2 linked regions of the Oryzias latipes genome follow. The protein of the gene in region 1 interacts with the protein of each later gene in a biochemical or structural test. Links are inferred from orthologs where the notes say so. Each region holds a gene or a part of one and is shown in the gene's direction. Other genes may lie near its edges.

What was found.
Region 2: the proteins of gab1 (region 1) and growth factor receptor-bound protein 2 form a complex in vitro, tested with the Homo sapiens proteins (2 studies listed by BioGRID and IntAct, with this or other methods). The link is inferred for Oryzias latipes from reciprocal best matches to the Homo sapiens genes GAB1 and GRAP2.

What each region holds. Positions count from the first base shown.
Region 1 is NC_019859.2:18,110,740-18,114,562, reverse strand, and holds part of gab1 (GRB2-associated-binding protein 1), read left to right. Parts: intron 1-297; coding exon 298-392; intron 393-1,434; coding exon 1,435-1,735; intron 1,736-3,823. UniProt on the Homo sapiens protein: Adapter protein that plays a role in intracellular signaling cascades triggered by activated receptor-type kinases. Plays a role in FGFR1 signaling. Probably involved in signaling by the epidermal growth factor receptor (EGFR) and the insulin receptor (INSR).
Region 2 is NC_019866.2:2,930,857-2,934,679, forward strand, and holds part of growth factor receptor-bound protein 2, read left to right. Parts: intron 1-161; 5' UTR 162-218; coding exon 219-296; intron 297-374; coding exon 375-466; intron 467-582; coding exon 583-702; intron 703-1,748; coding exon 1,749-1,935; intron 1,936-3,823. UniProt on the Homo sapiens protein: Interacts with SLP-76 to regulate NF-AT activation. Binds to tyrosine-phosphorylated shc.

The sequences.
Region 1 (3,823 bases):
TGATTTACATTTGAGACTTGTTTGTTTTTCTTCTTTCCAATAATTTACAATTTATGCTTGATAAACCGTGTGCACTTGCACAGTACTTTATGTCCTTTGGACATGGTTTCTCTTAATGTTTTAGTTTACATTCAGATCAACACCTAAAAATGAAAACATGGCGGTGAGGCACAACAGCAATATTTTTTGAAAATTTCGTATTTTTCCCATCAAATCACATTTTGACTGAGCACTGTGCTGTTCCAGTAAGACATTTGCTGCAAATATTTAATACTTTGTTTGGTTTTGTTTCTGCAGATTTTGGATCCCAGGACTTCTATGACATTCCTAGACCATTCCCCACAGATAAAAGCTATTCATTTGACTTCAACGAAAACCTCAAATGCTATTTTGTAAGTGTTGCAACCAAAGTTACAGGTGGATGTTTTTTTTTTTAACCTTATAATAATGGCTGCTAGTAAGCCTGTGTTGATGACTGAACATTTCTAGAAACGGAATGTTTTAAAAATAATTCATTTATTAAAAAGGTTGCCAGATTTTATAATATTAAATTGGTAACATTTTCTTACTACTCCTGTTTTGTAACTATTGACAGTTAAATAAGTATTTGAGCTGAAGAAAACAAGACTACAGATTATAGCAGCATATCAATTGCAAATTGAAATATGCCAAAATAACGACGTAATTCAATTAACCAAAGTAAACAAAGTTGATCCAGCGAAGTATCTTTGCTTTTGGGCTTTGCCCTTTAGGGGTCACCACATTGTGTCGTTATTTTATGATTCATAGCCGTGTAATTTGGAAGTAAAATACACATACAAGACTCATTTGGGATTTATCAAAATCACAAATGGCTTTTGTTGGCAAAATACAAAAGTGTGTATCAGTAGCTGCTTTGTAGAAATGCAGTCTCCAGCATGTTCAGGTTTTCTACTAAGAAGAAAACAAACTGCCTGTTTTTTCAAAAAAGCAAACAAAAAACAGCAGAGTCCAGGACTTCTCACTTCAAGCAACACAAAGAGCATTGAGAGGATAGTCTGTACTATCTTCACCAAATAATGATGTGAAGCAACAGCAGAGACTGCAGAAATATTAAACTTCTCATAAACACTATTCCACTCCGTACTGCTGTCAGGCTTTTGAAAGCTTTTTAAGTAGTATCAAGTTACACTAAGGATGAGTCCCGTTCTGTCTCTTAGGAAAGCATCATGCACCCATACTCATTATACGATAGAATGCAGTGACTACAGCTTTGTAAATTATTGATGTTTGAAGTTGTTACCAAAATCCTTTTTCTCAAATTCTATGTTTACATCAATATTCAACCAATATAAAGAGCAGAATATGTGTTAAAAAGTGACTGTTGTACTTCGATCCTTTGCTTGGTTTGTTCTTTTTGAACTAAGAGTGTTTTTTTAATTATGCAATCAACAGAAAAACAAAGGAATGATGCCATTAGGGAGCCATTCTACAGAAGAAGTTGACCAGAACTATGTCCCGATGAGTGCCAATTCCCCATCGCACCATCACTCTGGCAGTTTGCTAGAGACAGCGAATGAAACGAACTATGTACCAATGACCCCAAGCACTGTGGAGTTCCCTTCCCTGGGTAAACAGGTTCCCCCACCCGCTCACATGGGTTTCCGCTTAAGTCCAAAGACCCCCCCTCGCAGGCCAGTGCTCAGTGAGTGCCAGCCACCGCCCGTAGACCGTAATCTAAAGCCAGACCGTAAAGGTGAGTGCTTGCATGGAGGTGTGATGGTGACTCCTTAACACATGTTCTTAGTCTTCTTGCTTCGTGATTGATGTGTGTGCTATAAAACCTCTACTAAGTGTTGACTAATGCTATGGCTAACTATGCTTTCATCTCATACTCACCCACCATCCTCCTGTGCAAGATCAGAACTAAAAAACTATCTTTACAGAGCTTTTTTAAGCCATTAATTTCTGCTCTTGTTGTATTATTGTGTACTAATGGGTCTGTCCTTGGTTTGGGAGTGTTGGAAAAACCACTAATTATGTGTTCATTTCCTAAAGCAAACTGGTAAATTAGTTTACGGTTTGTTAGGCTCTTAGGCTGACAAAGTTTACCCATTAGTCTCAAATCTGCTTCAATGTCTTGTCAGTGTGTTTGGCAGATGAAGATGCCTAGAAACCCCGTTTTGCTCCTAAAACTCCATAACTTCTCACCCGTACACATAGGACAGGCCTTGAATAATCGAGTCGTTGTTACATAAACACACATTTTTGGTCTTTTTACCCTCCTATAGCATTCTGTAAAGCTCCTGACACTGATGATACATCATTATAGTGTTCGTAAATATTTATTTTGAGATTTATTCTGCTAGACCTTTACCTGACCACAGTTCTGATATCCTTGTTTCAATAATCTTAAACTGTAGAAAGATCCTATACCGAAGCACTTTTGATCATAGTGTATTTTCCATGCAAAATGGGACAGTTTATAAACTGTCTTCTCATGCTTATAGACCTTCATTCTGCAGCGTTGGTTTAGTGGCTCATCGCAGAAGTTTAAGGCAAAAGCCTGGCTGCACTACACGACACACACTAGGAACCCTACCCCATTTGGGGACAAATTAGATGTATTGTGTGCTCAGACGACACACTCACGATAAGGTGAATGAAAAGCTGTGTCATCTTACACCCTAACTCTCATCTGTGTGCAAAGCGCTCCGAGAGCAGCACATCCTGCCCTGCGTTCTGTACGTTTTCAAGGAAAATAAGAGATTGTTTTACCAAAAGAGATCAGAGTAGTGGTTTATACTAGGATTTTCTGGTTAATTTAAGTGTGCAACGAAATTCTGCACGGCATAAACCGTGTCTTGTAACTTCAGAATGAACACCGCCTATAGGGATATGGAATTCACACATGAATTAAGCTGGACATAGCTCATATCTGGACTACATGCTGCTTCATTGGTGCAAAGCAGAGTCTGTGATCACTGTTCAGGTTCAGAACTTAGGTACCAAGTCTCAAAAATGTCATTTTTATATATTGCATTAATGACATTCAAAAGATGATTGGTCCTGAAATATGTTAGTACTTTCATTCAGCTCAGAATTATTTTTCAAGCCGTTTATCACTGTGAAAGTGTCATCAACATGTTCCCTGATTGATTGACCGTTTAATAAGATTTATTTCATTCGATACTTTTTTTTTTTTTTTTTATTGCAAAGCCAATTCCACCTAAGTACTAATTTAAAATAAACTTGGAACATGGGAGAAGACTTGTATTTTGGAATTGCATGTTGCAAATAAAAATTTATCAGAATATTTTATTTTTTTAAAATTAGAATTATCATATAAAATAAATAAAAACATTATATATAGTTAAAAAAACTTTCCATTATGAACAGTTACAAAGTTTTGGAACTGAAAATGGTACACTTTTGATTTTAAATTGGTGTGCACTCTAGAGATATACAAAAAATCGCTTGGGATAATAGCCATTATCTATTATTTGTGAAGTTTTTATGTCTGGGGGGGACCTATAGGAGCTTCACATACCCCCCCCCCCCCCCCCCCCCCCAAAAACACACACACACTTTAATTTAATGAAAAAAACACCAAAAGATTGTCTCCATACAAAATAACAAACTTATTTACAATTAATAAATACCAAACCAACAATAACTTAACAGGTAAAGCAGAAAGGCTTCAAGTTGAACAAAGGCCAAAACAACAAACAGAACCCCACCAAACTGAAGTCTGAAATCTTACCTGTGAATGAAAGATAAGAAAAATCAACGACAAAACACTAACCTCCCTAGACTAACAGAAACAGGAGAAAACATGTGCAAG
Region 2 (3,823 bases), on another chromosome or scaffold:
TTGTGGTTTCTGACAGCTTCAGCTGAAACGTTTTGGTGCGTTTAAACCCGGAAATGTTTTGCAGAAGCTGTCTGTCTGCACTCTTCATCTGTTTCTTCTAGAAAAACAGACGGGAAGGGTTCTCCTTCTAACACCTCCTGCCTTTCTGCTCCTCCCTGCAGAGAAGCACCTGCGAAGGACGCGCATGAGCGCTCTGCTCGGCCTCTCCTGACCTCCTGATGGAAGCCCGAGGGAAGTACGAGTTCTCTGCAACGGCGGACGACGAGCTGAGCTTCAGGAAGGGCGACGTCCTGAAGGTTGGTGCTGCTCCGGAGCCGGAGGCCCTCGTCCCAGCTTCTCGGTACCGAACCGGCTCTCTTCTGTGTTTGTGGCAGATTATAAACTTCGAAGAGGAGTGGTGTAAGGCGGAGCTCAACGGACAGGAAGGCTACGTTCCGAAGAACTACCTGGAGATCCAGCTTCCAGCGTAAGAACCGTCCTGTGCTCTCGCGCTGGAACGTGTCGGTTGAAGCTGCAGCAGCAGCAGCAGCAGCAGCCGCCGCCGCCGTTTGCATCAGATAATCTGCAGGCGTCTCCGCTCAGGTGGTTTCAGGAGAACACCAGCCGCAGCGGCGCAGAGGAGATCCTGAGGCACAGAGACGTGGGAGACTTTGTGATCCGAGGCTGCCAGACTTCTCCAGGAGACTTCTCCATCTCTGTCAAGTAGGTGGCGCCGCTGGGCTGAAGGAGCGTTCAGGAACGAGCTGACGGTCGAGTGAGTCTGAGACCCACCGCCGGAAAAAAGTGCAGAACTGAAGGTCTCAGGACAAACACGACTAACGAATGATTCAAACCTCTTTCTTTAGGCTGGATTTCCTCAGTTTCCTTTTAAAAATCACACAAACTAAAAAAAAAATGTAGAAATTTATTGAGGATTTATGATTCTTCGTTTGAATCAAAACAAAAAAACTTTTGAGCCGTTTTTTTTATTTTTATTTTGAGCGATATCTTCATTTATTGTCAAACTTTGTTTTTTACTAAAAAAATTATAGACAGTAAGGGATTTTTGTTGTTTATCAGTGACCGATGTGATTAAAATAGTTAATAAAGTGTTGAATTTTCCCGTCTGACCTTTGAGGAGTCACTGAATGAGCGTAGGGTCCATAAAATAAGATTTTTTTCTCTCTTCACACCTCCATTAGGAGGTTTAATGTTTGTTTACATCTGTTTTGATGCAAACACTTCTCCTGTTTGGCTCATTTGCTGTCAGACGTTTAGTCGGTTTAAGGTTTGGTCTCAAAAACATTTTTTTAATCACCCTTTATTCTCAGGAGTTTCTGCTCTTTAAGTTTGTAGTTTATAAATGGAAGAGATGGACGTAAAACAAAAGAATAAATGAGAAAAAAGTCAGCGTGACGTGTCTCTACCTTCAGATTTTCAAAGTAAGTCAGTAAATCAAAATGATAAACAAAGAATTTCAGAGTAAAAGCCTTCACACTCGAATGTGGATCATGAAGTGTGTGGACGGACGGCGAGGGTTTGAATCCATGTCCACGCTGCAGACGTTAGCCACATTATCTCAGAGAGGTGGAGAAGTTCTCCTCCAACAGGAAAAGCTTAAAGGTATTTCTGAAAATGCTTTTAAAAAAGCAAAACAAAAATCTGAGGTCTGCTTGCTTCTTCTGGTGAATTTTTAGCCCCGCCCCCAAGTCTCCAGGGTGGTTTTTTTTTCTTTCTCTACGCTAATGCGCGTCTCCGCCTCCGCTCAGGCATGAGAGCGACGTGCAGCACTTCAAAGTCATGAGGGACAACAAGGGCCAGTACTTCCTGTGGTCGGAGAAGTTCATGTCCCTGAACAAGCTGGTGGAGTTTTACAAAACCACGTCCATCTCCAAGACCAGGAAGATCTGCCTGAAGGACGGCAGCTCCAACAGCCGGAGCCCCGCCTCCGCACAGGTACACGCCACCTGCTTTCCTAATGATGCGTGCGCAATAAATGGTCAATTTAAGAGGTTTTAGATGGATGCAGGGAAGACGTTTCCATAGCAACCAGGCAGCTTTTCCAATCATAGATTGACTCAACTTTCCTTCAACACAGTTTAGTTTCAGAATAAAGTGAAGAAAAATTTTAACTCCACGTCTGCGTGTGTTACCTAAATGATTTTCAAAATAAAATATCAAAACTCTAAAGAAAGACAAAGATTTAGATTTTAGAGCCTTTTCCTTTCAGTTTCTCTCTTTTCATTTCAAGTTCTATTTAAGAAGACTTCTGTTTGGTTTGTTTTTATCGTTATTTTAAATAAAACTGCACTAAATGTACACAAATCACAGCCTGCAGACCTTTATTGCCCACTATAAGCACAAAGAGAATTGAGTCAAGATCATAAATAGTTGTTTTTGCTTCTTAGAAAAGATTTTCTTTCGTCAGTTTCCACGTCCACAATGAGATAAAATAATAAAAAAATAATAAAAAATAATGAAAAAAGTGTGCCTAAAACAAACTAGGAGATGAGAAAAACAGCAATAAAAACAAAATAAATATAAAGCAATAAAAGTTTTTGTGACTCTGTAAATATATGTTCTCTATAAAGATAAAGAATAATTCGTTTTTTAGCAGGTATGTTAAATTCAGTGAAATTATATTATCAATATTTTTAGCCATTTGTTTACATAAATATCTACAAAAACATTATTTGCATGAGGGGGTTGTGTAAAAAAAAGATACCAAAAACCAGAAGTGAAAATACTGTGTTAATGAGAACATGAAAGTGGAGGAGGAGGAAGAGGAGGAGGAGGAAGAGGAGGAGGAGGAGGACTGTGTGCCAAAAGACACTTGATGAAAACCACAAAATCAAACAGAAACTGCCGTCATTTCTAGATATTATTCAGTGTCGCTTCTGTTTCTGCTGCACGGTGGCGCAGTGGTTAGCGCTCTTGCCTCACAGCAAGAAGGCCCCTGGTTCAAGTCCCGGCTGGGGGACATGAAAAACACTACATCAATGGGGGACCTTTCTGTGTGGAGTTTGCATGTTCTCCCCGTGTATGCGTGGGTTTTCTCCGGGATCTCCGGCTTCCTCCCACTGTCCAAAAACATGCTTCATAGGTGAATTGGCAACTCTAAATGGTCCATAGGTGTGAGTGTGAGAGTGCATGGGTGTGTGATTGTGGACCTTCTACCCTGCGACAGACTGGCGACCTGTCAAGGGCATCCCCTGCCTACGCCCAAGTAGCCGGGATAGACTCCAGCAGCCCCGCGACCCCGAAAGGGACAAAGTGGTACAAAAAATGGATGGATGGGCTTCTGTTTCAGGAGCCTGCCTTCTTTTAAAGTCCACAGCTTTTAATTTGAAAATCTAAAACTGGTAAACATGCAGTTTGTATTTAAAAAAAATCACTTTTTTATTTTTATCATAAAATTAAAATAATGATGTCTTTATCATGTATTTTCTTTTGGTTGTCTTTTTCTAAATCTCAGATAAAAGTTTAGACGTCAAATTCACTTCTAGACGTTCGTTTTTCTGTAGAAACGGGGGGGAATTTCATTTGAAAGTGGGTCAAAAAGGAGATTTAAAATATTTCTAGTTTCTGTTTGAAGCAGAAGTTCAGAAGCGTTTCCAGAGGCACACAAACACACATACACACACAGCTTTAACATGCTGAGGTTCGAGTAGCCTGAAGAGATGGTTCAGAAGTTCAGGCAGATGGAGTTCAGGGAATAAAATGAGGAGCGTGAGGAGGCGACGAGCATCAGGAGGCTCTCTCCTCCTGAAAATGGCAGCTCCTCTTGAAGGGCTTCAGGGTCACAGGTCGCGTCATCTCTAGACCAAATCAAAGCTTGGTTTAG